Linked DNA regions of Lonchura striata. The protein of the gene in region 2 binds, or shares a complex with, the protein of the main gene of each other region. Links are inferred from orthologs where the notes say so. Each region holds a gene or a part of one and is shown on either strand. Other genes may lie near its edges.

The links.
Region 1: the proteins of RPA1 (region 2) and ETAA1 are in contact, whole or in part, in a crystal structure (PDB 8JZV), measured with the Homo sapiens proteins. The link is inferred for Lonchura striata from reciprocal best matches to the Homo sapiens genes RPA1 and ETAA1. Residues at the interface, in NP_002936.1 of Homo sapiens: Arg31, Ile33, Thr34, Pro39, Arg41, Arg43, Ser54, Ser55, Met57, Asn85, Leu87, Arg91, Arg92, Val93, Ile95; in NP_061875.2 of Homo sapiens: Thr599, Trp600, Glu601, Ala602, Asp606, Asp607, Leu609, Leu610, Tyr611, Ala613, Cys614, Asp615.
Region 3: the proteins of RPA1 (region 2) and ATRIP are in contact, whole or in part, in a crystal structure (PDB 7XV4), measured with the Homo sapiens proteins. The link is inferred for Lonchura striata from reciprocal best matches to the Homo sapiens genes RPA1 and ATRIP. Residues at the interface, in NP_002936.1 of Homo sapiens: Ile33, Thr34, Arg41, Arg43, Ser54, Met57, Thr86, Leu87, Lys88, Asp89, Arg91, Val93; in NP_569055.1 of Homo sapiens: Gly53, Asp54, Phe55, Thr56, Asp58, Asp59, Leu60, Glu62, Leu63, Asp64.
Region 4: the proteins of RPA1 (region 2) and DNA2 are in contact, whole or in part, in a crystal structure (PDB 5EAY), measured with the Homo sapiens proteins. The link is inferred for Lonchura striata from reciprocal best matches to the Homo sapiens genes RPA1 and DNA2. Residues at the interface, in NP_002936.1 of Homo sapiens: Asn29, Ile30, Arg31, Ile33, Arg41, Arg43, Leu44, Leu45, Ser54, Ser55, Met57, Asn85, Leu87, Lys88, Arg91, Val93, Ile95; in NP_001073918.2 of Homo sapiens: Glu6, Leu7, Glu8, Leu10, Met11, Lys13, Ser14, Phe15, Trp16.

Annotation. Positions count from the first base shown.
Region 1 is NC_134605.1:2,575,523-2,583,152, forward strand, and holds the start of ETAA1 (ewing's tumor-associated antigen 1), read left to right. Parts: upstream 1-4,626; coding exon 4,627-4,807; intron 4,808-6,335; coding exon 6,336-6,473; intron 6,474-6,729; coding exon 6,730-6,806; intron 6,807-7,630. UniProt on the Homo sapiens protein: Replication stress response protein that accumulates at DNA damage sites and promotes replication fork progression and integrity.
Region 2 is NC_134622.1:6,993,549-7,001,528, reverse strand, and holds the start of RPA1 (replication protein A 70 kDa DNA-binding subunit), read right to left. Parts: upstream 3,004-7,980; 5' UTR 2,926-3,003; coding exon 2,893-2,925; intron 2,617-2,892; coding exon 2,569-2,616; intron 2,300-2,568; coding exon 2,221-2,299; intron 1,701-2,220; coding exon 1,592-1,700; intron 775-1,591; coding exon 686-774; intron 1-685. Other genes in the region: protein-lysine N-methyltransferase SMYD4, read left to right, coding at 3,263-3,393, 4,010-4,160, 4,371-4,460, 4,758-5,901, 6,672-6,854, 7,103-7,269, 7,548-7,683, 7,971-7,980. UniProt on the Homo sapiens protein: As part of the heterotrimeric replication protein A complex (RPA/RP-A), binds and stabilizes single-stranded DNA intermediates that form during DNA replication or upon DNA stress.
Region 3 is NC_134614.1:7,102,892-7,109,775, forward strand, and holds the start of ATRIP (ATR-interacting protein), read left to right. Parts: upstream 1-3,884; 5' UTR 3,885-3,896; coding exon 3,897-4,173; intron 4,174-5,370; coding exon 5,371-5,456; intron 5,457-6,457; coding exon 6,458-6,628; intron 6,629-6,884. Other genes in the region: protein BTG1, read right to left, coding at 109-461, 587-704. UniProt on the Homo sapiens protein: Required for checkpoint signaling after DNA damage. Required for ATR expression, possibly by stabilizing the protein.
Region 4 is NC_134609.1:35,120,216-35,127,915, forward strand, and holds the start of DNA2 (DNA replication ATP-dependent helicase/nuclease DNA2), read left to right. Parts: upstream 1-4,695; 5' UTR 4,696-4,769; coding exon 4,770-4,780; intron 4,781-5,717; coding exon 5,718-5,897; intron 5,898-6,285; coding exon 6,286-6,469; intron 6,470-7,700. Other genes in the region: SLC25A16 (solute carrier family 25 member 16), read left to right, coding at 68-136, 1,695-1,851. UniProt on the Homo sapiens protein: Key enzyme involved in DNA replication and DNA repair in nucleus and mitochondrion.

The DNA.
Region 1 (7,630 bases), on a different chromosome or scaffold from region 2:
ACATCCCTCAGTGCCCACCTGCAATCCCTGAGCTTTGCTGAGCCTCCCTCTGCAGAAACACACAGACAAATTGCTACTTACGTGTTACTCACTGCTCCTTCCTTAGCAGAAAACATCTTTTAAAGTACCATATCATTGTACTGAGTTGTAGATTTTGCACCCATACCATTTTAAAAACAGATTAACCAAGGGAAATATGCCTGGGAGAATTTGTTTCTTCACCTGGTCTCAAAATGAATAAACATATTTTCATTGGAGATAAATTATGAAAGTGTGTGTGTGGTTTGCTTCCTTCATTTGCAGTGCTTAAAAAGAAATTAATTTCCAAATTAAAATGTAGTTTGGGAACAAAAAAGCCCAAGACAGCTCACTTTGAAAATATCACAGAGCATTCAAAAACATACTAGAAAAAAAAGAGCAAATTAATTAATTTTTCATATTAATTTCATTATTTATAATAATTTCCATGCTCTCATAAATCTTGATATTTTCACTGAAATCACTATTATTGATTTTCCCTTTTCCCCAGTCCTAACAAGAATGAAAGATTAACTATAATGTAGTCACTTCCCTTTCTTTGTTTTATGTATGCAATATATTAGGTATTTTGAAAAACTCACTAATGAGACATACTCTGTCCATGACAAAAATCCTCACTTAAAAGTTCTGTGTTCAAAAGAGTTTAAAAATGAGCCTTTTTCAGTCCTATTTTCAATGAATTCATTACACCAGTGTGAAATTCTTAGGAAACTTCTAAGATGTGCCAGATTTATTTAATTTCATTTTAGATTTTGTCTCATAATATAAAGCGAAAAGTTCTCAGGCAGTTTATACTGCTATTAAAAACTGGAACTTTATTATTCATTCAATCTCCTGAATTATTTATCCCTTTTGATTTGAAAGTAGGACTCCCAACTGGAGCGCTAGGAGTCTGCTGCAAGTCCCTGGAACACATCCTCACCACAATTAGCCATTGATCAGCTGCTCATGCCACACCAAGGGAATGCAAAAACTCCCTCCTCCTTGAGGCTAAACCCTCCAACATCACAGCCTTCTAACACTACATTCCTTAATAAACATTATCAGCTTAGAGTTGAGTTCTTGAGCTGCAGTGGCACACACACACTTTTATTCATTAGGAAAGTGGGATTTCTTTCCCATTATGAACCTGTTTAGCTTATCTGCACATGCATATTATTTTGGGTTTTGCCTCTTTTGGTAACATATTGATGCAACAAGATCTCGCATGCAGAACGAAATGCATGTTAAATATGCTTCTATTTTTTTCCCCAAAATGCTTTCACTGCATGAGTAAAACCTAAAAAATGTGTGAAAGACCTGTGGCAAATATTCACATTTTCTGAATGGGGTTAGTGAACAAAGAGCTCAGAAAAAGGAAGAAATCAAAGGAGGCACTGCAAAATGACAGATGTTACTTAATTTTAATTACTGATGACAGTATTTCAGATTATGCTTGTTAACAGAAAGAAACACAAAGGCAGATCACTGTACAGTACCCAGCTGCTAATAGGCTGCTGGAAAGTGGTAGGAGACATCAAGATTTAGCAGTACTTTCTAGTAAGTGTGTCCATTTCAATGTTTTGCATTCCCTCAAGATGTATCTGCTGTTAATGTACAAAGTTTCTTCCCAGTATCTATTCCAACCATAAATAAGCAGCAGGTACCTTACATAGTGCCTAGTGCATGGTGTGCAGGAAAGACATTTTTAATTACTATATTGAAACCAGCAATGAAAAATATCCTGCACAGCCTTGCCACACTTGGTGCTGATGTACAGATCTACCCACACTGGTATGATTACAAGGCAGTAGCGATGTTCAGATATCTATGATGGATTTTGAAGACTCATTCTTTACTCTTTTTCAGTCCTCTTTGTAGTTTAAAGTCCACTTGATACTTTACAGGTCGGGCAAAAACAAGGTAACTACTCAAATGTCACAAGTTTCTGTGCTTGCTATAAATTTGCCACATATATGATACAGTTACTCTGTTTAATACATAGTACCTAATGGTTTTTTTTACTTGTTAAAAAGTGTTCTATTGGCTTTAATTACACCCATGAGAATGGAGAAGTGAAAAAACATATTTTTTGCCTGAGGCCTCAGGTGAAAAGAAGAGGTTTCATGGCTCAGGGAATTTATCTTTAGTGACTTCAAAACTTCTTACTCCTGATCCACCCTGAAACCCACTGCTTACATGTTACAAATTAAGAATGATCCCAAAGTACTCCAAATCAATTAAATGAAAAGCAAAAAAAAAAAAAAAAAAATAGTACAGAGTAGTTCACTCCTATATGCTGAATAAATATGTTTGTATATTTATTTTTAGAGGCTCAGGGAGGAAATATTCACATTGTTACATAACATATACATATGTTTGCATTTATATTGCTTAAAATAATGATGTAACCTCACAGGAAACCCATGTTAATTTATCTCCCAATTTTAGATTCTGTAAGTGAATCTTCACCAGCATCAACTGCCTCACTGGGATGAAATTATTTATGTCTGCTGGGTTTCACAGACTCAATTAGATTGGAAAACTCGTCTGAGACCATTGAGTCCAACCTATGACCAACATGTCAACTAGACCACAGCACTAAGTGCCACAACCAGACTTTCCTTAAACATCTACAGGGACTGTGACTCCCTGGGCAGCCCATTCTAATGCAGAACCACTCTTCCTGTGAAAAAATTACTCCTGATGTCCAACCTAAACCTCCCCTGGCACAGCTTCATGCAATTTCCTCTCATCTTGCTGCTGGGAGAAGAGATAGACCACCATGGTTACAATGTCCTTTCAGGGAGCTCTAGAGAGTAAGTAGGTCACCCCCAAGCATCCTCTTCTCCAGGCACAACATCCCCAGCTCCATCACCTGCTCCTTGTAAGAACTGTTTCCTCCACTCTTCACCGGTTTCATTGCCTTGCTCTGGACTTGCTGCAGCACCTCCATGTCCTTCCTGAATTGGAGCGTCCAGAACTGGACACAGCAGTTGAGGTGCAGCTGCATCAGTGCCAAGTAGAGGGGAAGAATCACTTCCCTGTTCCTGCTGGTCACACTGTTCCTGATACAGGCCAGGATGCTACAGGCTTCCTTGGCCACCTGGGCACATGCTGCTCATGTCCAGCTGCTGGTAGCTGCTACCTTCACATCCTTTTGCTGCATTTGCCAACTTCCAGCCACTCATCGCCCATCGTGTATCACTGAATGGGGCTGTTCTGGCCAAAGAGCAGAACCCCTTGTTGAACCTCATATTCTTGGTCTTGGCCCATCAATCCAGTCTGTCAGAGATCCTTCTGCAGAGCCTTCCAGCCCTCCAGCGCAACAACATTCCCACCCAGCAGGGTGTCATCCCACAGTTTGCTACTGGGTAAATTCAAGGCACCTCAGGCCAAGCAAAGTCCCGCAGGAGGGCACACCCTGCCCCTCTGCCCTGCTGAGCATCGCCCTTCCCCAGCTCCGGCGGCAGCAGGGCTTCACCGCCCCACGGCGGCGGCAGCGCCGGGCGGGGGGAGCCGGCAGCGCCTCACGGCACCGGGACCCGGGCAGAGCCTCACGGGCAGAGGATCCGGGCAGCGCCTCACGGGCACCGGGACCCGGGCAGAGCCTCACGGGCAGAGGATCCGGGCAGCCCTCACGGGCACCGGGACCCGGCAGCGCCTCACGGGCACCGGGACCCGGGCAGCGCCTCACGGGCACCGGGACCCGGGCAGCCCTCACAGGCACCGGGACCCGGGCAGCCCTCACGGGCAGAGGGACCCCGGCAGCCCTCACAGGCACCGGGACCCGGGCAGCGCCTCACGGGCAGAGGGACCCGGGCAGCCCTCACGGGCACCGGGACCCGGGCAGCCCTCACGGGCAGAGGGACCCCGGCAGCCCTCACGGGCGGCTGAACCCGGGCAGCCCTCACGGGCAGAGGGACCCGGGCAGCCCTCACGGGCGGCTGAACCCGGCAGCGCCTCACGGGCAGAGGGACCCGGGCAGCCCTCACAGGCACCGGGACCCGGGCAGCCCTCACGGGCAGAGGGACCCCGGCAGCCCTCACAGGCACCGGGACCCGGGCAGCGCCTCACGGGCAGAGGGACCCGGGCAGCCCTCACAGGCACCGGGACCCGGGCAGCGCCTCACGGGCAGAGGGACCCGGGCAGCCCTCACGGGCAGAGGGACCCGGGCAGCCCTCACAGGCACCGGGACCCGGGCAGCCCTCACGGGCAGAGGGACCCGGGCAGCCCTCACAGGCACCGGGACCCGGGCAGCCCTCACGGGCAGAGGGACCCCGGCAGCCCTCACAGGCACCGGGACCCGGGCAGCCCTCACGGGCACCGGGACCCGGGCAGCCCTCACGGGCGGCTGAACCCGGGCAGCCCTCACGGGCACCGGGACCCCGGCAGCCCTCACGTACGGCTGAACCCGGCAGCGCCTCACGGGCGGCGGGGCGGGGCCGCAGTTCTCCGCCGCGTCCGCCCGCCCGCCCCGCAGCGCGGGGCCAATGGCCGCTGGAGGCGCCGCGGCGGCGGCCAATCGGCGGCGGCCTGGCGAGCCGCCCGGCAAAATGGCGGCGCCGCCGGTGGCGGGACGGGCGCGGTGCTGCCGCAGCGGCCGCCATGCCCGGTAGCCGGCGGAGGGGGCTGTCCCTCGGGCCCGCCGCCCTGAGGAGGCGCAGCGGCGGCGAGGAGCAGCGGGCGCGGCGGCGGGCGGAGCTCCCCGCGGAGGAGGGGCCGGTGGAAGGCGGCGCGGGCCGAGGCCTGCCCGCCGGGGAGGCGGCGTGCTCGCCCCGCGCTGCAGGTACGGCGGGAGCGGCCCCCGGGGGCCCCGGGCCTGCCCGCCGTGTCTCGGACCGCGGGGGAGGCGCGGCCGAGCCGTGAGGAGGGGTTGGTGCGCTGTAAATCTCCGCTCGGCCCCTGGGAAGGAAGGGCTGTTGCTGTGGAGAGCAGGTTGAGCCAGCGTGCCCCGGGCAGGCCAGTGGTACCTGGCGTGCGGCGAGAAGAGCATTGCCCGCAGGTCAAGGCAGCTGTGCCTGCTCCTCTGCTCAGCCCTGCTGAGGCCACATTTGGGATACTGTGACCTGTTCTGGGCCCCTCAGGACAAGAGACATGCAGCTCCTGGAACAGGTCCATCAGACAGCTACAAAGTTGGTTAGTGGTTTGGAGAATGTCTTCTACGAGGAAAGGCTGAGGGAGTTTGGTCTGTTTAGCATCGCGAAAAAAAACAGAGGGTACACATCAATGTGTATAAATATCCAAAGGGAGGGTGCCAAGTTCTGCTCTAAATATAAATATCCAAACACCAGGTTCTGATCAGTGGTGCTGAGCAGTAGCACAAGAAACAAGCAGAAACTGATGCACAGGAAATTCCACCTGAACATGAGGAAGAACCTCTGTGCTGTACAGTGACCCTACACTGGAGTGGGTTGCCCAGAGACAGTGTGGAGTTTCCCTCGCTGGAGATATTCCACAACCATCTGGGCACAATCCCGTGGCCTGTGCTCTGGGATGACCCTGCTTGAGGAGGGAGGTTGGACAAGGTGACCCAGTGTGCTCCCTTCCAACCTGACCTATTCTGTGATTCCCACAGCAAATACTGAGAACTAACCGAGGAGAGGATAAAACCACTATGGCCATGCTAGGCACTTCAGGGCAAAACATCCTCTAAGATGTTCCTCCCGTAGTGATAGCATCTTTTAAATTATTTCTGTAGGCTTCCACATCCACAGCATCATTTCTAAAGGGCAGGGGTGACTAGCTGAGTTTCACATAGTGTGTTTAGTTCACTTACTGATCAAAGGCAGCTGCAAGCAGGTTTGAATAGCTATATTCCTGCTTTTAATAGTCCTAGCTGGAAGGGCTCAGTGGAGGAAATACAGACAAATGTAGGTTATGACCCAGAGTGGTTTGGATGCCCATTAAAAAAGTAGTTCAGCTCAGAGTCTGGGTGAAAGACACAAAGCAAGCAAGAATACAAAATCTTCTCTCATAGAGGTATACATAATTTTTCTCTTAATAGAAGATTAAGTCAGTGTTCTCTCAAGTGTAAGAACTGACATCATTACAATCAGTTCCTGGGTGCAAAGGTGTCAGTATCATGTAATTTTCTCTAATCTCTGTGGGGATTTAATTGGCAGAGTCCTGTATTTAATGTCTAGTTATGAACAGTATTCCTGTTGTGAGTAAAGCAATTCTGGTGTGTGTGAACTTGATTTTTATTCTTGATGTTCCCAAAGCATTTTCTTTTGCCTTGACGTGTTCTGTATTCTAAGTGATTTTTGCCTTTTATTTGTTGTTTTTTAATAAAGGTCCTCTTTGTTTTTACACAGAGCCATGTTTACATAAGACACCAAAGAGATCATTGAGTAGGAAATCCCGAATACCTACTTTCAGCTCTCCTATTAATGACACTGAGACACAGCAAGAAATCTTTTGGGATTCTCATTCACCAATTGCACACAGATTAGGTAATACCAAAATCCAAACTGCAGGACACTTGTTTGAGTGCGAGTGTAGCAAAAGTTATAAATGGTTCCTTGGAAGAAGGTTCTTTTCTCTTACAACGGTTGTTTGATTTTACTTTCGTTATAAACCTATAAATTCTTCAGTACAGCACTGAATCAATCTCCGATGTTTACAGGCCTATTTGAGTTATTTGAGATGTACTGCACTTCACAAACTGGATAGATTTCAAAATTTTAAGAAGTTTGTTTTTTTTCATAGGCAATGGAAAAAGCAAGCAGTCTACCAGTAGATGTGCAGTAGAAATTTCGGAAATCGTTAATCGTATTGCTCCTCAGGTAATTGTGTAATTGTAACTTTCTAAAACAATGCTCTGCATGTGTAGTAATAAAAAGGGAATAGTGCTTAAGTTTTAGCCTTGGTTTTAGTTACAGTAGTGTCATGGTAAGAGTTTGGCATGTAGAAAACTAGTTTATAGAATGGGATTGAATTAAAACAGTCAGCATAGCATTTACTGATTGTTGTGTGAGTCACAGATGCTGTAAAAAAGGACACATGAAGAAACTTGCAGCAGCTGTATTTTAGAAAGGTTTACTTTCAGAATACAAGGTTTACTGCCCTTGGTCTTAAGAATACTGTTTTTTTAATCCTTAATTACTCATCTGTTAAAAGGTAAGACTTTCTTCAAATACTGGATTTATTTGGCAGTTGTTTTTAAGCATTTTGAACGGTCTTGATTGACTGCTGATTTACAAGAACATGACTGAGATGAGAGATATTTTGCAATAATATAAACATAGTAACCTTGCTTCAATACTATAAATAATTTTCCTCTTTACCCCAGTATCTGCCCTTTCCCTCTTGCCATGAACCTGATGTCCACAGCTCAGAAAGTCGAAACCAAAGTGCTGTTGCATTTTAAGTACAAGAAGAAAACATGTAATTCCTAAAATAGATGCGTAGTATTTAGCTTGCAAAACATGCCTGCTTTTTTGACAGGGCTGTTTAAAATATATTTACTGTTCAGCATATTTGTGAGAAATTATACTAAAAGAAAAAATCATTGATAAGGGATATCATTGCATACCTTTAAAATTATTACAGTTCTGCCACGAATGTAATCTGCTGCTTATGTTTTTATTTTTTTAAACAAAAATAAATT
Region 2 (7,980 bases):
TCTAAGTTTTAGTGCTTCCTGCACCTAACATTCATGCAGAGGATGTATTGTTATGTTTAACAGCCTTTAATGGATTTCTCTTTCACATCTAATTGCTTTTTGAATCTGTGCCAATTTTTGGCACCTACCTCCACAAGTTCCATAATTTAACTGTGCAGTTTAGGGGTGTGGTGCAGCCTTTGTTTTACAACCACTGCCTGACAACACAAGAGCTGAAGAGCATCAAATGAACATAGAAAAAAGAGAGAGAGAGATTCATCATTCTTTATTCATCCCCTCCATGGCATCTTAGACTTTTACAGATCATTATTCCATCTTCCTCCTCCTGTTTCTTTCCAGACAGGAGAAATTAGAATCTATTTGATTCCTCATTATGAGGAGACATAAAATCGCTTCCGCTTACTTACTGGAACTCGAGGTAGAGACCACTCACTACAATAAAAACCTGTCAAGGTTATAAGGTATGGATGCTCCAAACACCATGGAGAGACTCAAGCTTCAGCCATGATGCAGAGTTTATTAAAATAGCAACAAACCCCAGTTTGTATGACACAAACAAAAAGGATTTTGAAGATCTGGAGCATAAAAAAAAATCCCTGAATGTGTCTGACTGCTTTTTTCAGGTGAAAGAGAGAAGCTGAAAGGCTCTGAGGTGACAGAAAAGTGTTTACTTGCAGCTACTCACCCTCATTGTATGGCTGGGGATTGCCAATAGGCCCACCAACCTGATCAGCAGTTTGCAGGACAGTTACATCCATCAGGATCACCACTCTCCTACAACAGAACAGACAACAAACAAAGACTGTCACTCCCTCTGCAGCTCCCATCTCAGGATATCCTTTGCAGCAGCTGAGAAAACCAAGCATTAAGAGGCTGATTCTTTGGATTATGGATCTGGGAGACAAAAGCTTTCCACTGTCAACTAAGCCCTCTCTTGAGGGACAAGTAAACTTGAAACAATATCAAGGATACTTGATATCACTGCATCAAGGGCAGGCCTGAACAGGCACCAAAAATAGCTTGGGAAACCACTGTGTTTTAAAAATAGCTAAACCATACCAGGTTTTTATTCCCTGCTTCAAAAGTTGCTGTCTTCTCTTCAGAATAAAAAGAATACAAACCTTAGTTCATCTCCTGATAGACATACACACAGTTTTTCTGTAATAGTTTCACCTGGATCCCTTCCCACTTTGCAGTACCCATCCCCTCAAATTTTCCTCCTATCCTATTTCCTCAAATTTTAATAAAAGACCAGATCCCACAACACCTAAGTAACAAGATACCTTTATTGTTTCTTTTCAACAGCAGAAAATTTTAAGGAAGCTTTGTACAAGTATTTGGAGTATTCCAGCTGGAGGTGGAGTATTGCAACTGGAAATTTTTTATTACTATATCACTGTACCAGATACATCTGATCTCACTAGTCACATTCTGCAATTTCCTTCTGCTGTGGACTGTCCCTCTCACACCCTAAAACATGAGTATTGTCAGATAATCCCAACCAAAAGCACTTGGCCTCTGCTTAGTCACAAAGCACACACTCATGCAGCTGCCTTTCTGTAGGGCTGAACTTAAAGATTAACACAAATACCTTCCATCTTTCAGGCTGTTGACAATGAATCTGTTAACCTGGCAAATGCACCGGGCTGACAAGCGTTCCTCTTCCACCAGGGAGTTCAGCTGTGTTGCCAACATGAATGCTGCAGGAGCAGAAGGAAAGTATTGAAATAATTCACAATGACAGCTTTAAAAGGGACTGCCACACTTTTTTCAGCCAGTCAAGTATTGCACTGGATCTACAGCTTGACAAAGAAAACAGTGCAACTGCTAAGAAGTCACCAAAACTGACCATGAAGTGTGCTGTATTCATTCCCCACACTTCAGAGTGCAGTGATAGCTAGAACGCTTGTATATCAAAGAACTAAGAGGAAAGTTAAGCTAAATTACTTTTAAATTAATGTTATATGTATAGGTTTCTGTATTTTCATTACATCCTGCAGCAAATTGATTGTTCATATTTCACAATGTTCCAAAAGCCAGACATTTCACCTAAAGGACAAAACGTAGTTACACACTTCAGAGTCTGTGGGCCAGTGAAAAAAACACATTCTCCTTCAATGTTTATTTCAGCACTTTGCATCCAAGTCACCAGAGTAGGAACTTCATCACCCGTAGCATGTCCACACTTAGAAAAACCTCACAGCAGCTTGTCATACTCACAGGAGAGAGTATTCACCCCATCACTCATCAGCACTCGGTAACGTGGGGGCCCAGTTCCTGTGGCAATAGCCCGTGTATTCTGCAGGGAAAAAAAAAAAACAAAAACCAAAAAAACAGGCTGTCAGTTCACATTTCTTCAGAAACTTTTCAAAACCAGAAAGCGACATTAACAAGTGACTTATCTACTCGGCTTTTCTGAGCACTAATATCAACTTCATAGCCCAAGCAATGTAAAACAAAATTAAGAGAATTAAAAGTAGAGCAGCCTTGCTCGGCTTCTTTGCAGAGGAAAGTCTGGCTGCACTCAGGACTCCAAGAGCAGCCACCGAGGGAAGGGACAGTACTCACGATGACTTGAAGCACGGGCTTGAAGACTTCCTCCCCTTGCATTATGGCCTGCAGAAATGAAAGAGACGCTCAGGAAAGCGCCACAGGAACATCTGAGACCCCGCGCCCGACCTACAGCCAAGGGTTTGAGGAGGAACTGCCGTGGAGAAGCCAGGGACGCGGGTGCGGCCGCCACCGCCGGACCAGGAAACCCCCGCGGGACCAGGCCCCGCTCCGGGCCTGCTTCTCCCCTCAGGACCGGGCAGGGCGCGGTGCCCAGGCCCGGCTTTCACCTCGCACCGTGCCCAGGCGCAGGTGCACCCCAGCCCACGCCGGGCCGCTCACCGCGATGGCCCCTTCGCTCAGCCGCACGCTCATGGTGCCGCTGCCGCCAAATCCTCCCGCCGCCGCCGCCGCCAAATCCTCCCGCCGCCGCCGCCGCCACCGCCTCCTTCCGGCGCCTCCTTCCGGCGCCGCCTCCGCCGCGCCGTGCGCCACCCGCCAGAACGCGCTTCTATTGGCTGCCCGGCGCCGTATGGCGGAAGTACCGCTGTGAGCCGTGTGGGGATGCCGCTGGGCGCCGCCATGGCGGCGGTGGCGCTGCCGCCTGTGGCGCAGTGGCAGTGATGGCAGTGACGGCAGTGATGGCAGTGACGGCAGTGGTGGCAGTGGTGGCGATGCCGCTGCCGGTGGCGCGGTGGCTGTGGTGGCAGTGATGGCGCTGCCGGTGGCGGAGTGGCGCGGCCGCACCGCCCGGCTCTGGGCCGCGCTGGACTCGGCGCTGAGGGAGCGGCTGGCGGCGGCTTCGCTTCACGACGCGGTGCGGTTGGGTTGCGATCTGCTCCGGTGAGCCGCGGGTCCGGGGATGGGCAGCGAGGGGAGCGGGGAATGGAGCATCTCGTAATGCGTATAAATAATAAAGGGGGGTGTCGAAGGATGGAGGAGGCTCCGCTCGCTGCAATGGCAGGAAATTCCATCTGGATAAAATTCCACCTTTCTACCTGGCAGCAGGTTGGAGGTCGGCCTTGTCTCCCGGGTTGCTGGCGATAGGACAAGAAGATAAAGGGTTAAATTCACCTGAGAGGTTTAGGTTGGACACGAGTAGGAATTTTTTCGCAGGGAGAGTGGTTAGACGCTGGAATGGGCTGCCCAGGGAGGTGAAGTCGCTGTCCCTGGAGGTGTTTAAGGAAAGATGGGACATGGAATTCAGTGCTGACAAACCTGGCATCGTCACCGCCTGAGAGGTCTTTTCCAACCTAATCGTGTGATTCTGAGGATACGAGGAAGAGCTTCTTCCCTGTGCAGTGACCCCGCCGTGGCACAGACGGAGTGTGGAGTCTCCCTCGCTGGAGATACTCCAGAACCCTCTGGACACAGTGCCACAAGGATCATCCTGCTTGAGCAGGGAGGCTGGACCAGAAACTCCAAACTGATCCTTCCGTGCTGCCCCCGTGTCCCACAGGACCAAGGAGGAGGAGGAGGCAGCCCTGGTGCAGCTGTGCCACCGGGCAGCCACGGACAAGAAGCCAGAGGCTGCGAGCCGGTACCGGGAGCAGGGCAACCAGGAATTCAAGCAGGGCCACTACCAGGCTGCCCTGAGGCTCTACTCCAAGGTAGGTGTGGCAGAGGGGGTCCTACCCACAACACCTTCACATCCCTGAGGGGATCCCCAAGAGAGGCTCCTGCAGCCCCTCATGGTTGAAGGGTGAGGGGCAAGGAGCAGCTCCGGTGAGGGGATCCCCAAAAAGGGGATCCTGCATGCCCTGCTGAGAGGGTCCTGTGAGGGATCCCCCGAGGCAGCAGCAGTTCTCTGGTCTCTGCAGGCAGCATCCCACGAGCTCCCCGGGAGCCCCGAGTTGTCCGTGTGCTTTGCCAACCGCTCGGCCGCCCTCCTCCACCTGGGACACTTTGAGGTAAGTGGGGCCAGGGCAGCACCCACCCTGCAATGTCCTGGATGCCCCTGAAGGATTGGATTATTAGAACAAGAAACAGTAGATCAGATGTGCTTCCCATGCTGTGCTTCCCATGCTGTGCTTAAAGCATCCATAGCTCAACTTCCCTACTTCAGGATGCTTTATTTGGGCAGCAGGTTGGTTATGCACGTGGAACTTGCTGATTAGCACACAGAATTCTTCCATGAGACTTAGGTGGAATGAAAGAGCACAAGCTGGTTTTCAAGCCCACTGAAAAGGCCTTATCTTTGTTCCTAGGTTTGTTTGGAAGATATTGCCAGGGCTGAAAGCCATGGCTATCCAGACAGGCTGCTGCCCAAGGTCCTGCTGCGGAAAGCTGAGTGTCTGCTGCGCCTGGGGAGGTTACAGGATGCACAGGAGAGCCTCAGAGTGCTGGAGAGTAAATTTGCTCTGGATGGTGTCATGACTACAAACCTGGCACGGCTAAAAAAGTTAAGTCAGCTGAAGGTTAAATTAGGTGAGAAAGAGAGGTGTCCAGAGCCTGCACAAGAAGCACATGGTGGCATTCAAGGGGAGCCAGAAATCTGGGAAGAGAACAACAGGATTTCAGGTGCATCTTCATCCCTGAGCTTGGGTTTTGATGCAGAGAGAGGACGTCACTTGCTGGCCTCCCAGGACATCGTGCCAGGACAGAGCCTGGTGAAAGAGGAGGCCTTTGTGAGCGTGCTGTGCCCTGGGGAGAGCCTTCCTCTGCAGGATGGTGACACAGCGTGGGACACTCGAGCCACCAACGCGGATCTTTACTGCCACCGCTGCCTGAGGCAGCTCCTGGCCTCGGTGCCTTGCCAGGGCTGCAGTTATGCCAAGTACTGCAGCCAGGACTGTGCAGACGTGGCATGGCAGCAGTACCACAGGACAGAGTGTTCCCTGGGAGCGCTGCTCCTCACGCTGGGAGTCTTCTGCCACGTGGCCTTGAGGACTGTCCTGCTGGCAGGATTTGCAGAGGTTAGCAGGCTGGTGGCATGGTCCCACCATGGGGACAAGAGCCTGCAGTGCCCTGAGGCAAGCTGCAAGCCTCTCGGTGAGGCAGCAGATGCAGGAGCTGGTAGCAGAGGTGTCCCTGGTTGTGACAGCAGTGGTCAGTACCAGAGCTCTTACCAAGCTCTGTTCCACCTTTTACCCCACACTGAGCAGCACAGCCCTGAGCACAAGTTCCTCTGCTTGCTCAGTGTGGTAGCTATATGCAAACAGCTGCAAGCAGCTGGCCTGGAGGCTGCTGTGCTGTGTCAGGAATCGCCTCAGCAGTGGTCCAAACTAAAGGCATGTGAGAACACCTCAGGTGAATTGTCCCCAGAGCTGAAGACTGTGGCAGAAGCAATGCTGAGGCACGTGTTGCAGCTGCAGTGTAATGCACAAGCAATCACTGTAATGCAGGAGTTGGGTAAGATAAAAAAAATTGAAGCCCTACTGTGTTGTCACAGAATGGTTGGGGTTGGAAGGAGCCTCTGAAGATGATTCAGTCCAAATCCCCTGCCCAGGCAGGGTCACCTGGAGCAGGTGACACAGGAGTGGGTCCAGGTGGGTTTGGAATGTCTCCAGACCTCCCTGGGCAGCCTGTTCCAGTGCTCTGCCACCCTCAGTGGAAAGATGTTTTTCCTCATGTTGAGGTGGAGCTTCTTGTTTAATCTGTGGCTGGTTCTCCTCATCCTGGCACCACAGAAAAGAGTCCATCACTATTCTCTGACACCTGTATTTGTTTATGTATTGATGAGAACCCTTCTCAGTCTTCTCCAGACTAGCCAAGCCCAGCTCCCTCAGTCTCTCCTCATAAGAGAGATGCTCCAGACCCCTCATCATCTCTGTGGCCTCCACTGGACCCTCTCAGTAGCTCCTCTTTCCTGTCCTGAGGAGCCCAGGACTCCTTGCCCATCTTGTCCTCTCCTTGCCCATGTTCTTGTGTGAAGAGATTAAATTCTCAGCTGTAAAAAGCTCCCATTGCAGATGGAAATGATTTGTTTACAATTTAATGGCCTGTCCCATGCTGGCCTGTTCCTTGGTGCACATGCAAGACGTGTTTAGCTATTATTTATTGCAGCAATATACGAGGAACCTTTCTGCTGCTGCCTGCGATCGGTCACGGGGCTCATTGCAGAAATTGTGTGGGTTTGGGAGTATTCAATCTCAACCTGCTTGGTTTTCCTCTGTCTTCAGGGCCTGGAGATGGGGATGTTGTAGATAAGAAGCCTGTGAGGCTGGCAACAGCCTTCTTCCCTGTCCTCAGCCTCCTGAACCACTCGTGCTGCCCCAATACCAGCGTGTCATTCAGTGGGACAGCTGCCACTGTCAGGGCATCACAGCCAATCTCAAGTGGCCAAGAGGTTTTGCATTGCTATGGTAAGCCCCAGTTCTGCATTTGTCTCAAGGCACAGATGTCATTCACCTCCCCTTATCAAGCTGATGGTTATTTATGTCATAATTCTCATATAATTCTCATCTAATGTCAGAGTCTTTGTCCCTTAAGCCCTCTGTTAGACTTTCAGTCTCCAGTTGTGTCCTCCTCAAAATATACCTAGTCTCAATTGTAACAAAAATCCACTTATTCTGATATTAAGAACTGTACTTGTGAGAGATATCTTTTGCAGGGCCTCACTGGTGTAGGATGAGGGTTGCTGAGAGGCAGCAGCTTCTCAACCAGTATTTCTTCAATTGTCGCTGCCCGGCGTGCCTCGAGGAGTTAGAGTCTGGTGTCAAGAGTGTGGTGTCCATCAGAAATTCATTCTGCTGTCCCAAATGCCAGGCCCAAATGCAGGTAATTCTCCATAGTTATGATTGTGCAACTTAATTGGGGTGTGAAGACCTCACTTTGATCCCTGCTCAGAAGCCAAAAGCCCCTATTGAGTCAAGACAGTATCTCACTGTTTCTTATAAAATCAAATAAGCTGATAACAATTTATTTAAAAAATCACTTTGTTTAATGAATACAAGTGAGGAACAATTTAGCATCTCTATAACCCAGAGCTAATGCAGATGGAGAGTGAACTTTGAGGTGAATGTGAGCAGGAATGATCACAAAAGTGATTTCCACAGGGGGAAGAAGACACTCTTTGCTGTTCAAATGAAGCTTGTGCAACCTCAGCCAGCAGAGATCACTTGTCTGGCCGTTTACAGGACCTCCAGCAACAAATCAAGAAAGGTTTAGGCATGCTGAGAGTCGGAAAGGCTGGTAAGGCTCAGCTTTGTGCCCTGAGGTCAGGAGGTTGGGACAGGAACCATGAGATGGCACTGTTGCTCATACCATCGGGGTGCTGTGACATGTGGCCTGGTGTCCATGGGGACTTCAGCTTTAGATTTTTTATACCCCCTGATCTGGGTGTTAATCTAAGTCACATATTGTTCCATAGTAAAGTAATTAAATAAAAAGAAATCAGGGTAACAGTGGAGTTGGGCATTCCCAGGCCTTGTTTATTTCATGGATAGTGGAAGGGTGAATTTTATAACTTTCTCTTATAGATCAGGCTAT
Region 3 (6,884 bases), on a different chromosome or scaffold from region 2:
TTAATGACGATAGGGTGAAAAAATAATTAAAAACAAAAAAAGCTCAGCTATATCTGACTTTACTATGAGGTTGGGATACATACAACATCGTACAGGGAAGAGTTGTTTTTAACTAGAAACTGTCATCATGTTGTAACTCTTGGAAGGGCTGGATCTGCCAATTCTCCACTCCTCCTTGCAGCTGGTCCTGCTCTCCAGCTGTTTTGCCGCCTTCCCTCCAGGCTGGGGGCTTTCGTACAGCACACAGATAGACCCATCCTCACCTATGCGATAGGACACTTCGAAGGGGTCGACCCACAGCGTTAATTCGCTGGGTAAGAGCTGGAAGAGCCTCTCGTGGCTCAGTCCGATCATCCCCGCCGCCTTTCCTATCAAGGGGTCCATCTTATGGTTGATCCTGATGCAGCGGTAGCCGGAGCCCTTGGAGGGCACCAGGGGGAACCAGTGGTGCCTGTAGTGCTCTGCGGGAGGGAACAAAGAGGAGCTTCTGCGCGGGGCTGCGCTCCGCCGGACCCCGCAGGATGCGGGAGGGATGCAGGGCAAGGATGCAGGGGATGGAAAGAGGGGATGCCCCCCCGGTACTCACCGCGCATCGCCTCCTGCAGGCACTCGCGGAAGCACCGCAGCTGCTCCTCGCCGACCCCGCCGGCGGCCCGCAGGAGGCGGGTCACGAACGCGGCCGCTGTGGAGATCTCGGTCCTCATGTCCGCCCCGGCCCCGCTGCCAGCGCCGCCCGGCCGGGCCCGGCCCCCGCGGCCGGGGGCGGCTCCGCGCAACAGCCGCACGGCGCGGGCGGGACGGGGCGGGTTTGTTGTGCTGCCCATGGGGCGGGATCGGCGCGGACGTACGGGCGGCCCGGCACACGGGCGGCCCGGCCAGCCGGGCTGCGCTCGGGGCCCGGCACACGGGCGCGGCCCCGCCGCTCCTTCACCCCAACGGAGTTAACGGGTGCAACGCGCGGCTGCAACGCGCGGCCGCGCTCCCGGCCCGGCTCTGCCCCCACGGCTCTGCCCTCACCGCCACCCCAGGCCAGCGGCGGCTCCTCTCATCCCTCCATCAGCTCCATCGCAGCCGTATTCCAGGCAGACGGCGCCGTTGTCCTGCCTTGCTCCCTTTTCCCTCTCTTTTCTCAGGGCCCAATACAAGCACAGACTAAAACCCCCTCCATCTCAGACACGCAGCTCCGAGGTCATCCTTGACAGGCGGGTTTTCCTTTCCCTCGACCAGCAAAAGACAAAACTCTTGACATTTGCCCAAAACCCAGAATACTCCCCTCCTAACCGACTCTCAGGTCTGGATCAAGATGCTGTTTTATTATAACAAATTTTCACCGAAGTCCTATTTGCATTTTATTACCTCATACTTTAGGAATTAAGCTAAAAATTTAATCTCTGCTGGTACCTGGACTCATTCAGTCATCCACTTCAGTTTTGATTTACTCCGTGTTTTGAGAATTAGAACACAAAACATATTCACATCAATCTTCATTGAAATAAGAGACAAAGAAACGCTTGCACTGGAGTCACAGAATTATTACTAGCATTTAGAATAAACTTACCATTAGCAGCACTAAGAACTGTCCAAATCCACACATAAGTTATTAAGCTTAATGCTTAATTATGCTAAAGAGGTTTCTCCTTCCACAATGTATGTGCACCCAAATGAATAAATGCACAAATTCCCTATTACCCCAGTGATTTTACACTTAAGTCAGTAAAACAAGATACTGCTAAAGCCAGGACAGACATTAAGGGCCCTGGTTTTAACTTGCTCATGAGTAAACTAAAATAATGGTAATAGTAGAAAGCAGATGAGTTGTAGCTAAAAGTATTGCAAGAGTCAAATGGTAATGCTAAAACTGCTTACATGGATTGAGGCCTGACACCTGGATCCATTAGTCCTAAGTGGAATATTCAAATGAAACAAGAAATTCTGGCTACAAAAATTAAGAATGCCACAGTTGTCAGGTAGCTTCTAAACTCACGCTTTGCTTTCTTGTGTTCTCCTCAGGGAGTTTCAGATTTAAGACTCAGTGTAAGCAAGACAGAGAAAAATGAGAAATCAGCAAATATGTAACTGTGTTACTTTCATCCCCCTGCCCAAAAATTATTCCATGAGCAGCTGTATTTAAATAAAATTCTACATGTCAGACTTACTTTGTTGTTATTCTAATCCTCTGCAAGTCATTTTCTCTTTAGCAGGAACACCTGGAGTAGAGGAAAACGAAGTCAGTATCTTGGTTTATCTTGTTAAAAATAAAGCCTGTGCAAGTGTTCTACCATTCTATTTTTCCTCAGTTTCAGCTAGCAGAAGAGGAGAAAGTAAAACTGAAAGTATACCACTCAGACAATATACTATTATTTAAAAGGAGCAATAATAAAAAATAGTCATACTATCATAATCCTACTAATTTATTAAACAAAAATCCTAAACAAACAAACAACAAAAACACACAAACAAAAACAACCCAGAATTAAGAACAAGTAATGTCTAAATCCAGTTCCTTTTAGATTACTTAGATTAAGTTCTCAATATATGTCTCTTTAAACATAAGCAGCAGAAACAGAGCACGAGAAATTGCCAGGAGAGGTTTTAAACTAAACAAGAAATTTTGTTTTTATTCCATCTGTTCAAAGCATCTCTCTCTAAATATAAAAAGATGAAACCATTCTTAAAAGCAAGGAGAAACTTTATGGCAAGACTAGAAAGACAAGCATTATGTTACCATTCCCATTAGAGGGAGAAAAGCAATAATTCCAAACATAAATAATAGTACCTTCAGTGTTTTGAGCAACAAAAGCATTCACAATTCCCCCAGTTTGGTACATAATTGATAGAACAACTTCTTGGAGAAACAAAAATAAACCTTTAAGCAGCACCTCAAAGCTAAAGTGCTACAAGAGCACCTGCCCTCTGAGGCTGCCCCTTCTGCGTGCACCTGAGCTGAGCGGATGAGCTGTTCCCACCTGCTGATTCCACTGGGATCCCTGCTGCCACTTCAGCACAGCTGGGAGCGATGGCTCAGGGCTTGCTTTGGGCCCTACCGGCTCCTCACAGGCTGCTCATGCACTGCACGGAAAAAGAAAATTACCTCCAGTGATAACCCAATTTCCCTGCATGTCACGGGCAATAGCGAAATGAGCAAGAAAAATCAGAATTCTATAACACAATTGGAAATATGTCACACTAGCACAGTGGTTTTCACTTCAAAGACCATCAAGGGGTTTGTAAACTGATTTGTAGAAATGAAAAAAAATTGTAGCTGTGTTTTAAAAACGTGCTGTAAGACTATCGTCTGGTCTCCTCTTAAAAGGTTTATCAACATAGCTGTGGCCTCACACCACGTGAGTTATAGAGCTGGAAACTCTGTTTTTCAGTCCACATTTAAAAACGGGTCATATATGATTACAAAAGCAGGTTAACGCCAGTAATTTAACCATGAGGGTTTAGCACAGGACTTTAGCAAATACTGCACTTCCCTGACTCTCCTAGAGGTCCCAGTTTATCGAGGGCAGTCGTGTCTGTGGCTGCACAGGACGGGTCACAGCCGCCCTGCGGCTGCGGCGTGACGTCATCGTTCCCGGGATGAAGCCAGGTCTGACAGCAGCGGGACAACCCTCGCCGTGACGTCACCGTCCAGCCTGACGTAATCGCTCGAAAGCGTGACGTCAGCGCCTTCCCTCACAGCGCTGAGGGGACAATCCTTCCCGCCTCCGTCTCTCCCAATCAGCGAGGCGCTTGCATGTCGGCAGCTCGCGGCCAATCCTGGGAGCGCTTATAGCCGGCTCTGAAGCTGCCGCCACTCTATTGGCTGTGTGGGAAGGGCTGCCCGGCGGCGATTGGCGGGAGACGCGGCGCGCGAGGGGCGCGGCCGGGGCGGCCCCGCGGGTCCCGCCATGGCGGCGCTGCCCGGGCCGCGCAAGCGGAGCGGCTCCGCGCTCTGCGGGGAGAGCGGCGCTGCGGCCGCCCCGCCGGCTCTCCGGAACGTCCTGCCCCCGCACAAGCGCCCCAAGAGCGCCGCGACCGGGATCATGGACCCCTTCGGGGACAGCGATGACTTCACGGCGGACGACCTGGAGCAGATCGACATCCTGGCCTCGCAGGCGCTGTCGGAGGGTCCGCCCGCGGGACACGCGTGGGGAGCGCCGGAGCTGCCCCCGGGCGCGCGGCAAGGTCGGTGTGTCCCGGCGGCTGCCCCTCACTGCCCCGCTGCTGCCGAAGCGTTCGGTGTCCCTTTAGCAAGCACGGAATGGCTGGGTTGGCAGGGACCTCAAAGCCCACCCAGTGCCACCCCCTGCCACGGGCAGGAACCCCTTTCACTGTCCCAGGCTGCTCCAAGCCCCGGCCAGCCTGGCTTTGGATACTTCCAGGGATCCCGGGGCAGCCACAGCTGCTCTGGGCACCTGTGCCGGGTCCTCACCTCCCTCACAGGGAAGAATTTCTTCCTAATATCTAACCTAAATCTCTGTCAGCGTGAAGCCCCTTCCTATTGTTCTGTCACTAAAGGTTCTTGTAAATAAGACTTGCTCCATCTTTCTTGTAAGTTCCCTTAAGAGAATTAATTGATCCTGCCCGTTCCCCTGGCCACCAGCACCCGACGGTGGTACGCCCGGGGTCAGAGGGATGGCTGGCATTCAGAGGAATAACGAGGATAACAATCCCAGCAGGAGCACTGCATTGATCCCACAGCTCCAGCAGCCCTGCCTGGGGTGTGTGTCGTAATGCCAGCCTGGGACAGGGGTGCTGCATGTTAAACCTGCCAAATAAAAAACTCGAGTTTCCTAAACTTTCAACATGCTTTAGGTGTTATATTCTAGTAGCATGTTGGCTTTCAGATTTTCTTTCCCCTCTTATTTTCCACTAATAAATGCACAGCATGCCTTGTATTAACAGCTGACTTTCAGGTTTATTTTGAAAGAAACAAAAGCAGGGGTTTCTTCATAATGAACCTTAGAGACCTTAAGTAATCTAAGTATGTTTTAGCAACCCTGACATCTGTCACCAGGTGAGTTAAATTTTCAGTGAGCCCTTGTTTGTGCATTCACTAAAGTTATCTCAGAAGAAATGCTTGCTTTTGCTGTGGGTCATCTTGGTGGTTTAAGATACGAGATGATCTTTAAGGTCCCTTTCAACCCAAACCATTCTGTAATTAAAAATTTGAAGGGGCAGGGATTCTTCTGTTATAAGAATTGATGCACATGCACTAGCAAAATTCCTGTGGTGACTAGATGGGGCAGTTTACCTGTTTGTAATGACAGTAAAATACTAAGATATTCAGATGTATGCAATGACAAATAACAAAACTTGGTGTTAAGTCACCAGTGATGCACATTCATCATCTGTGCTTCAGATTTTGGCTTTTCCCTGCAGCAGGAAGCAGAGCAGAAGATGGTCTGATGAGAGATGCATTCCAGTTTGAAGTGCTGCAGACACAGCATGAAGAAGTTAAACGGAAGGTTGGCAATATCCTCCCTTCTCCTCTAAATATTACATTTTTGATAGGAACAACTGAAAGGTGGGATAAATCCAGTCCCAAGCATTTAATTCTAATCAAGGTGATCTAATTTTTGTAATCCAGGGGTGTATTAAAATACAATAATTGTACTAGAAACAGCTTCAGTAATACTAAAGAGTGAGAACAATATTTTATTTCTTGGTAATTTCAGATTAGCAAATGCTAATTTTTCAGTTTTATTTGTTCCCTATCAAATAATTTCTCTGCTTTATCAGCCAGAGTTGTTTTGTTTAACTTAAAAGGTTTGAGAAAGTGAGGTGACTTTCAAGTGGCTTTATGTTACGTTACCTTCCAGTGGTCATTTATGGAGAGATTCTCTGTTTCCCTTTCTCCATTCTCTGTATCTGTCCCAGCTCTATTATATCCACCTTTATCAGGGAATCTCCTACTTGTATACTGTATTAAATCTTAATATTTCAGTTGTAGAGAAGTGTCTTTCTGATCTTTTCTTCTTGCTTTTCTGAGTAACTTCTTTATTATCCTCAAAGTCTTGTCTCTGAGTGGTAGTGGCTGCTCAGGAAATGTTAGAGACTCAATGTCATGAAGATTCTCTCTGGGGGTGGTACCTTCTCTTAGAGTGCTTGTTGGCTGTCCTGATGGATGTAGTAGTGTAATTAAATTATCACTGTTATCATCCAAACAATGAATTAATTATTGATGTGTGTGACTAGAACACTTTTTTTTTAAAAATCCAAAGCATAATTGCAGAGGAGGGGAAAGATAAGGATAATCTTGTAATTTTGAATTATGTTAAAGAAAACAGTAGCTGAGCCTGATTTAATCAGGGAAAAATTCGAGGTAATGTGTAGAATTTCTGAGCTAGGTTACCAGGAGCATTTTTCTTCCTAGGAATTACAAATACACCTAATTTTCAACCACATATTGATGCAAATGCATACTTTTGGCTATATCCATCCTTTAATGTAACTCCTCTGTTTGCAGCTGAAAGAAATGCAGGATGAAATTCTCACTAAAAATGGAGAAATTAAAATTCTGCGTGACTCAATGCAGCAGATGGAGTATGCTATGGAAGAACAGAAAAGATCATACCTGCTACTGGAAGAACAGAAATCTCAGATTTTAAGTGAAAAAGAAAAAGAGTTCTCCAAAAAGGTTTGTAAATTTGTCAGTTACCTGCAGATCACTTGCAGAAGCTGATTTATGACTTAAAGATGTCACAGACCATTTAGTCAAAGGAACAACATTTGTGTGAAATTTCCACAATGCTTGCTTTTATTTTCTTACCTAGAAGAAAGTATTTGTAAGAACTTGTTGAAGGTTTTCCCCTGCCAAAATAAAGTAGTGAAACTCAGGTGGTAGAGGTTTTCATTTACGTACTGCTTTTTTGAAGCCATCCTGAGAACATTGC
Region 4 (7,700 bases), on a different chromosome or scaffold from region 2:
GTTTAGACAACATTGCAACAGTTGTCACACATCTGCTGGAGCTGCTCTTTCAATGTCTTCTGTGTAGATATCCCCTGGATGTAACTCGGAGGCGAATGCAGTTAGGAGCAGTTCTCCCAGACTCTGAAAAGTGCCTGTAAGTATTTCCTTTTCATCTGTACTGAGTTTTTGGATGTCTGAGCTAAGTTCAGTTCTTAATTTTAAACTTTAAAAGAAAGCAACTACCATAAGAAAACAACTACCCCTACCCCCTGAACTACTGTGCTGTTGATTTTTTCATTCTTTTAATAAAGATGTTTCCCCGCAGACAAAAGCTACCATTTTCAACCTGGGATTAAAAAAATACCTGAAATAATATGGCACCCTTGTTAGTAATCCTGTATCTCTACTAGTAAAATAGTTTTTTGTATTTTAAGGCAACTTGTACTACCTTTAATACCAGCAAGATCTTTAAAAAGAGACTGAATGCTTCTACTGAAATTTACTAATTTCAGAGTGTATTTTAATGGTGCAGATTCTGTTCCTTGAGATCATTTTGCATAATACAATTTTATTTGAGCTTTTTTTTGCACTTACAGTAGTCTCCCACACCCTACACATTGTTGAGGTTCCTCCACTAGAAGTGGAAGCACCATAATAACTTAAAAATCCTAATAGTATTAAATCAGGTCTCATCTTGAGAAACTTTCTGAATTTCAAATTGTCTCAATCAATTTCAATTCTTGGACAGCTTTCTCTTGGTTAGTTTCCATCTTGTGGAATTGTGTGTGCCTGAATCCAATGCAGTTCACTGTGAACCTCCTGTGTGGAAGGTTGGATCCTACCGAGAGCAGCCTGAGTGACCTTTCACAAACAACCTTGATATTGCTTAACTGTGAAGTGTGAAGGTTCTGTTCTGTTTTCTTTACTAGCTTTTTTTTTTTTTTTTTGGTTGTGTTATTTTCCACTCCTGATGATTTTAAAAGAAAAATGTGTTCATTGTTCTTTTTACTTTTCGCATTTGTGAGGACTGCTTTTACAGACCTGAGGCTTCCCCATTTAACAATTTTGATGTGACCATATAGAGGGATGTGCTCTGAAGGAGAGACACAGGCCTGTCTTTAGAGGATGAGAGGATAAAGCAAGCAGGAAGTGTCAAAGCTTTGGAACATATGGAAGATGCTCTCCAAGAGCACTGTCTTCAATAGCATGGAAATACCAAGCACTTCAAGTGCTTTCTATTTCATATCTTCTTGGTTTCAATACAAGTATGTGAAGAAAGTTCTCTTTGCACATACAGTTCAATTTCTGCTTTTAAAAAGGTAAAATACTATATACTCAGGTTATTAATTGTAAATGGAATTTATGCTTTTCTGCTCTTTTCCTGCCAGTTAGGCAAGACAGTGTGTGGAGCTGTTCTGGTGTAAAATACTGTAATATGTCTTGTAGGGCAGGTGTTTTCAGGCCAACACTATTTTAGCTGGGACTGCACCATCCTCTTTCCAATTCCCAGTCCTTGGGCCCAAATTTGTTGCAGAAGTCCAGGTTGTCTTTTTAGTCAGATGTGGCTTTTTAGTCATACGTGGCTTTGCTGTGTGGAATGCCATGGGTTTTTCTGCATGGATCTCTTAAAACCCAAGTAAAAAGTATCTTATATTTAAAGAACATGATTTTGATACTGAAGATGTGTATCCACAAATGATTTCTTTTTCTAGTACCATGGTGCAGACACTGAAATATGTGTATCAACAACACGGAGTACGAAGAGGACTGTACCGTGGGCTATCCTTGAATTACATTCGCTGTATTCCTTCCCAGGCCGTGGCTTTCACCACTTACGAACTTATGAAACAATTCTTGCACCTCAACTGATTCTTTCTTTTAGAAGACTTTTCTGTAAAACTACACTATCAATCCTCAAATGATATTGATGAATAAATGACTTGAAGTTTAAAAAAAAAAAGCTTTCTGTTACTGTGGACCTGCTGTTGTCTGACATCTTTATTTGCCAAAATGTGGTTAGTTTCCTGGAGTCCAAACCAGGTGACACATTAAAATAAACATTAGCTAGATCTAAACACTTTTTTTTGTACTTGATCTTTTAGGCTTCATTAGATGAATATTAGGAATGACACAGTTTTGGAGGTGACACCCACGTTTTATACAGGTTCCAAGCTGTTATTATTTAGCTGTAGCACCATTCCAGGAGTTAGATGCTGCTGATTATGCTGCTTTTGAAGCTAGTAATTAGGCATGTTGTTCTTTAAAAATTAAATGGAATAAACTGATTTGAACATAATGCAATGATTTTGGCATTCAGATTCTTGCTAGGTCTGTAGAAGCTGAACTTGGCAGAGCACACTTTAAGCAGCCTTTTATTCTTGCTCTGTACAAATTTTCCATATGCAAGAACAGATTGCTGCCCAGGAAAGTATCTTCAGCCATTTCAGCTAGAACCAGCAAGATGTATTTAGCAGTATTAGCTATCTTGCAATTTGGAAACCAGTTCCTTGGGGTACATTCTATTCTAAGAAAATGCTGTACTACACAAATAAAAGCAGGGGGATTTTACAGGGATGAGTGCTAGAAAAGATGTCCTTGTGGCAGGTAGGGCCTAATCTTAGAGAACTTTTCTGTGGAGCTGCATGTCTTGGTTTGCTTTGTTCAAGGCTGAGTATGTTATGTACTTCCCAGTACTAGCTGGTGTAAACTACCTTAAACCATGGTGCCAAAGAAGACTGCATGTTGCTGTTTAGGCATATAGACCACATGCAACCTCACACAGAAAAGAAAATTAAGATTGTATTGGCTCCGTAGGTATGTGTATGTACTGTTCCTGAAGTCATGGTATGCAGTAGATTATTGCATGTTTGCCTCCTCCTGTAATTCCTTTTCTGGAAGGAATTATTTTATACATGATTTGCATTGGTACTCTTGATTTTACTCACTTGATTCAGGAAACTATAAAACATTTACTTCATGTAAGTTATTTATTTATTGTACATATTTTAGTGTCTTCTAAGAATTGGCAAGGGTTATATTAAGTGGTGGATGGTAAGACTGATTTGCTTAATTTTGACAAATTTAACAAACTGGATTTTCAGTTGTTTGTTCAGTACCAACTTATGTGGCTCAATTTTCCCCCCAGTTTCTTTAAAGTATGTATTTATTTGAAATTTACAGTATAGCAATGAATACAGAGAACGAAATGTATCAGGATATATTTTATTAAAATTTTTGAACTAATATCTTTGTGTGATTTGTGTGTGTTGCAGCCAGGAGGGATACATGTTTCTGGAATGATCTGTTTGCCCTAATAGGCACAGCATTGTAATTCTCAATTAAGTGACAACAAATATGCTTTTTCATCTGATCTTTAGTTTCACATAAAGGAAAGCTAGCCAATATCACAGTGAACTTTTACATTTTAAAGTTCTTGCAGTAGAGATAAATCCACTGTATTAGGAAAACTAAAGTGTCTTTCTTTTTTCTACATTGTTTTGCTATGTGAGCAGATAAGCCACTTGTTTTTCATGTGTATACTGTTAGGGACTATTAAGTTAAGAGTTTTACATCTTAATTCTACTACCAGGGATGTATTTGAGGCATGTCATGATAAGTTAAGCAGTTTTAAGGCAGAATAAAGCAGAACCCAGCATGTTTATGCCTGAGAGGAAGAGAACATAAAAAGTATCTCCTAAATTCTTGTGTCTGGTATTGAATGTGAAAAACATACCTACTTGATGGAACTGTGCTGTATTTTCAGAATTAGGTTTTTCAAAATAAAATTTAACAGTGTATGAAAGTATTTTAATATTGATTCCTGAATTTACAGTTATATGTGGAGAATGCTGATGGATCTTTAAACGGCAAACATTTTTCACAATCTCTGATTTCAGAACACTTGTGTCCAACTTTCTCCCTAGAGACTCCCCAGACTGATTGCATGGCAGATAACTTCAAAAAAGATATTTCAAGCATATTTTGTACTTCATAAACCTGTTCTGTTGAAATATGTATTTTCTGGTGTATGGGAGATAGATAGGCAGCATCCAAGACTACAGTACAAAGGTTTAGCAAGTGTTCAAAACATTTATATAATCTCAATATCACGCCACATCATGACTGCATTTAATATTATCAACAAGGAACTAATAAGTTATAATTAAGCTTCTGTTAGAGAATAATGTTGCAGTGGGAAGCAGCATTAATGTAATTTACTGCATATATTTCAGGACTATCCCAAATAAAACTGAAACGGCTAACCTAAGAATGTTCTCACCTTTTAAAATTCGTCAATTTGAACTCGATTCTTCTGTTGGGATGTCTAGCCATGGGCCAAAGCTGTCATTTCTGCAGCAGAGTGAAACCTGTGTATCCGAAACGTCAGTGCCACCTCAGAAAGCCAGAGACCACACCTTTCTGAGGGGAAAGGCTGGACTCTCGGGCTCAGATTGGCCCATAAGTGAATTGGGAGCGGAAGGCACGTCTAATATGGCCCTGTGCCACCGCACCAGTGGCGGCAGTGGGGCCGGGTGCGCCTCAGCGCCCTCAGCGCCCTCAGCGCCGCTTCGCGCCTCCGGCTCGCGCGCGTGGGAACCGCCCCCTCCGCCGCCTCCCATTGGCCGCGCGGGGCGCGCCGGGCGGGGCTGGCGGAGCGCGCGGCGGCGCTGCGGGGGCGCTGGGTGCGCTGAGTGCGGGCCGGGCCGAGCCGGGCCGAGCCGAGCCGAACCGAGCCGAACCGAGCCGGGCCAGGCCGGACCGAGCCGAGCGCCGCACGGGACCTGCCCATGGCCGAGCGGTAGTGGCAGAATGCGGGGAGCCACAGCGGGGCGGAGACGGCCGGGAGCGCGGGGTTTGAACTTGCAAACCGCTCCCGGCTCCGGGCGCGGGAAGGCGGGATGGGGTCTGAGGCCTTCCTCGGCCTGGGGAGCGCTCGGGGCTGCCGGGATAGCGGGTGAGGGGGAGCCGCCGGGATGGATGGTGAGCGGGAGCCGCCGGGATGGATGGTGAGTTGGAGCCGCCGGGATGGATGGTGAGTTGGAGCCGCCGGGATGGATGGTGAGTTGGAGCCGGCGGGATGGATGGTGAGTTGGAGCCGGCGGGATGGATGGTGAGGGGGAGCCGCCGGGATGGATGGTGGGCGGGAGCCGCCGGGATGGATGGTGAGTTGGAGCCGCCGGGATGGATGGTGAGGGGGAGCCGCGCTGCCTCGGGTGTTCGCGCTGGGCACGGCGCCGCGGGGCCCTGGCGTTCGCTGTGCCCCGATCGCTCCCCAGGCATCACTCGGGACAGGAGAGCGCTGGTTTGGCCGCTCTGTCTCATGGTTTGGCTATTGGAAACTTAACCTTCAGTATGAGTTTTCTAAACAACTCAAGGTCATGGGTAAAACGTACCGCTCCGTGCTCGAGGTGTTTGTGTGGCTGTGGGAATTCATGCGCGCAGGGAGATAAAAGCTTTCTCACAAGCACAGTGTTTGCAGTACAGTTATAATTAGTTTACTAGTGCTTATGGATATGTGGACCCAAAAATGTAATAAATAGCAAACTGCTTAATATTTATAGAGATTTCTTACTCTTTACCTGTACAGAACTGAAAAAAAAAAAACCCAAACAAAATATTTATAAAAATTGAAGGGGAGTAAAATTTGGTTTATGGTTGAAGCTATCTCTCTTTTTGTATGTAGGTCGGCTATTTTCAAAGAGTACAGTATTCTTTGTAATTAGGTGTTCCTTCAGTTTTCAGAAGAAAGTGTCTGACCTACCTCATACGATCCTGAAGAATGGGCTGAACAACAGATACCGAGTGCTGGAGGTCAGCGTAATACAGAGAAATGGAAGTGACCCTGAGAAACACTTGACAATTACAGCCTCCCCCTCACTGGAAGATACAGAACTGTGCATCCTTAGGAGTGGCTGGTAATCCACACAGATACATAGATGTTTGAAAAGAGAATGAAATATTGGATTATTAACTAAATTTTGTTTGTGTTGTCTGTGAGTTGAGTTTTACGGCCTTAAAAGTGATATGGGATCCTGAAAGAACCTTTGTTTAATGTGATATTATCAGTATGCTAGCATAATGGATATCATCTTGAGAGGCCTGATGTTGAGTAGGCATTGCTACCTTGCAGTTTTGTCATTGTAAAAATGCCTTTATTCACTTTCAGGATTTCTTTAAGTCAACTTCTTAAAAGAACCCAACCCAGCATTTCAAAGAATGTTGAATCTGCTCTGTTAATGTGTAAGAAAATACGTTGTGTCTGTTATTTGCAAACATTGGTTGTATGGGTGTATTGCCTTGCAGGGAGTCTGTCCCGGTGGTTCCAGGGGACATTGTTCATTTGGAAGGGGAGTGCAGCTCTGGCACCTGGGTCATCAGTGCCCAGAGTGGATACCTGGTCCTGTACCCAGACCTGCTGCTCTCGGGCACCACCATCTCCAGCAGTATCCGCTGCATGAGGAGGGCAGTGCTGAGTGAGCGCTTCAGGGTGAGTGCTGATTCCACACTGCCAGTGATTTACTGTTCCACTCACACCGGTGGCCTAGCCCAGTGTTAAATCTGGCTGTTAGAAATGTCCTAATTAGCAATTCATAATGTTTGCAACATAGAATAATTTAGGGTGGAAGCTGTCTTTGGTTGAACTTCTCTTGTTTTTTTGAGACTTGCATCTGAAATAATGCAGTACTCTTAAAACGGCTACTGGTCTAAAGAACTGGGCTTTCCACTTATAATTCTGATAATTTTTTTTATAATCTCTTGCTGCATTTTGTGTGGATATGAATCCTTTGTGAGGGATTTGCCTGTTGCCATCCATAAGAAAATATAACCACACTTTGCCAAATTAACAGCTTCTGAAAAATTTAGTTAATTCAGTTAATTGGTGTGGGCTGACTCTGGAGTCTGAATTCAGCTGCTTGATCTTGGAAAGAGGCAAAGTGTCTTGTAGTATCCTTGCTGATACATGTGAAATATGCTGATAAATAGGGAAGCAACAGCTGCCAGTTTCAGCTGATGAAAACTTCCAGACATGGTAGGAATATAAATCCAAATGAATAAGGAAATTTTAATAGAGTGGTAAACAGCCTGGCTGGGAACCTGTGACTGGAACAAGAAAATTAAGTACAGGAGATTAAGACTATGAAATGGTCTTCAACCTTCTATTAGAGGAGTAAGGGGGATAAAATGATTGTTGAGTCAATGCACAGGGTCCTGACTGGGATAACACCATCCACTTGTTGTGAGTGAAGTTCACTGGTCTGTAAGAGATCCATAATACCACAGTGTTTAGGTTTTCAGCTATTTGGTAGTGACTTTCAGTTTTTGTGAGTCTCCAGAGCCCAGCCCTTCTGATGGGTTTCTGAGCCATGTTGGTGATACATGGAATGATTTTGCTGTGAGCTGGTAACAGACAGGAAACTGCTTCGTGCAAGAAATCTGTGTAAGATTGTAAAGATTGTGTTTGCATTAGGAAACGCCTGCAGGCAAAACTTTCTCAAAGTTTTGTTTTAATCTGTGCCTTTGTTTCTCACCTGCCAATCACATAGAGATTGCATCCCGACATTGTCAGGGTTGGGATAGGAGACCCACTTCAGTTCAGCTGCTCTCACAGGCAGGTTTGGCTAGATAACCATTAGTGAGGTGAAAGCTGTCATGATCTTATAGTTAAATAAGTGTAGGTCTTGATGTGCAGCAAATATTGCAGAGAAATTTGGCAGAGA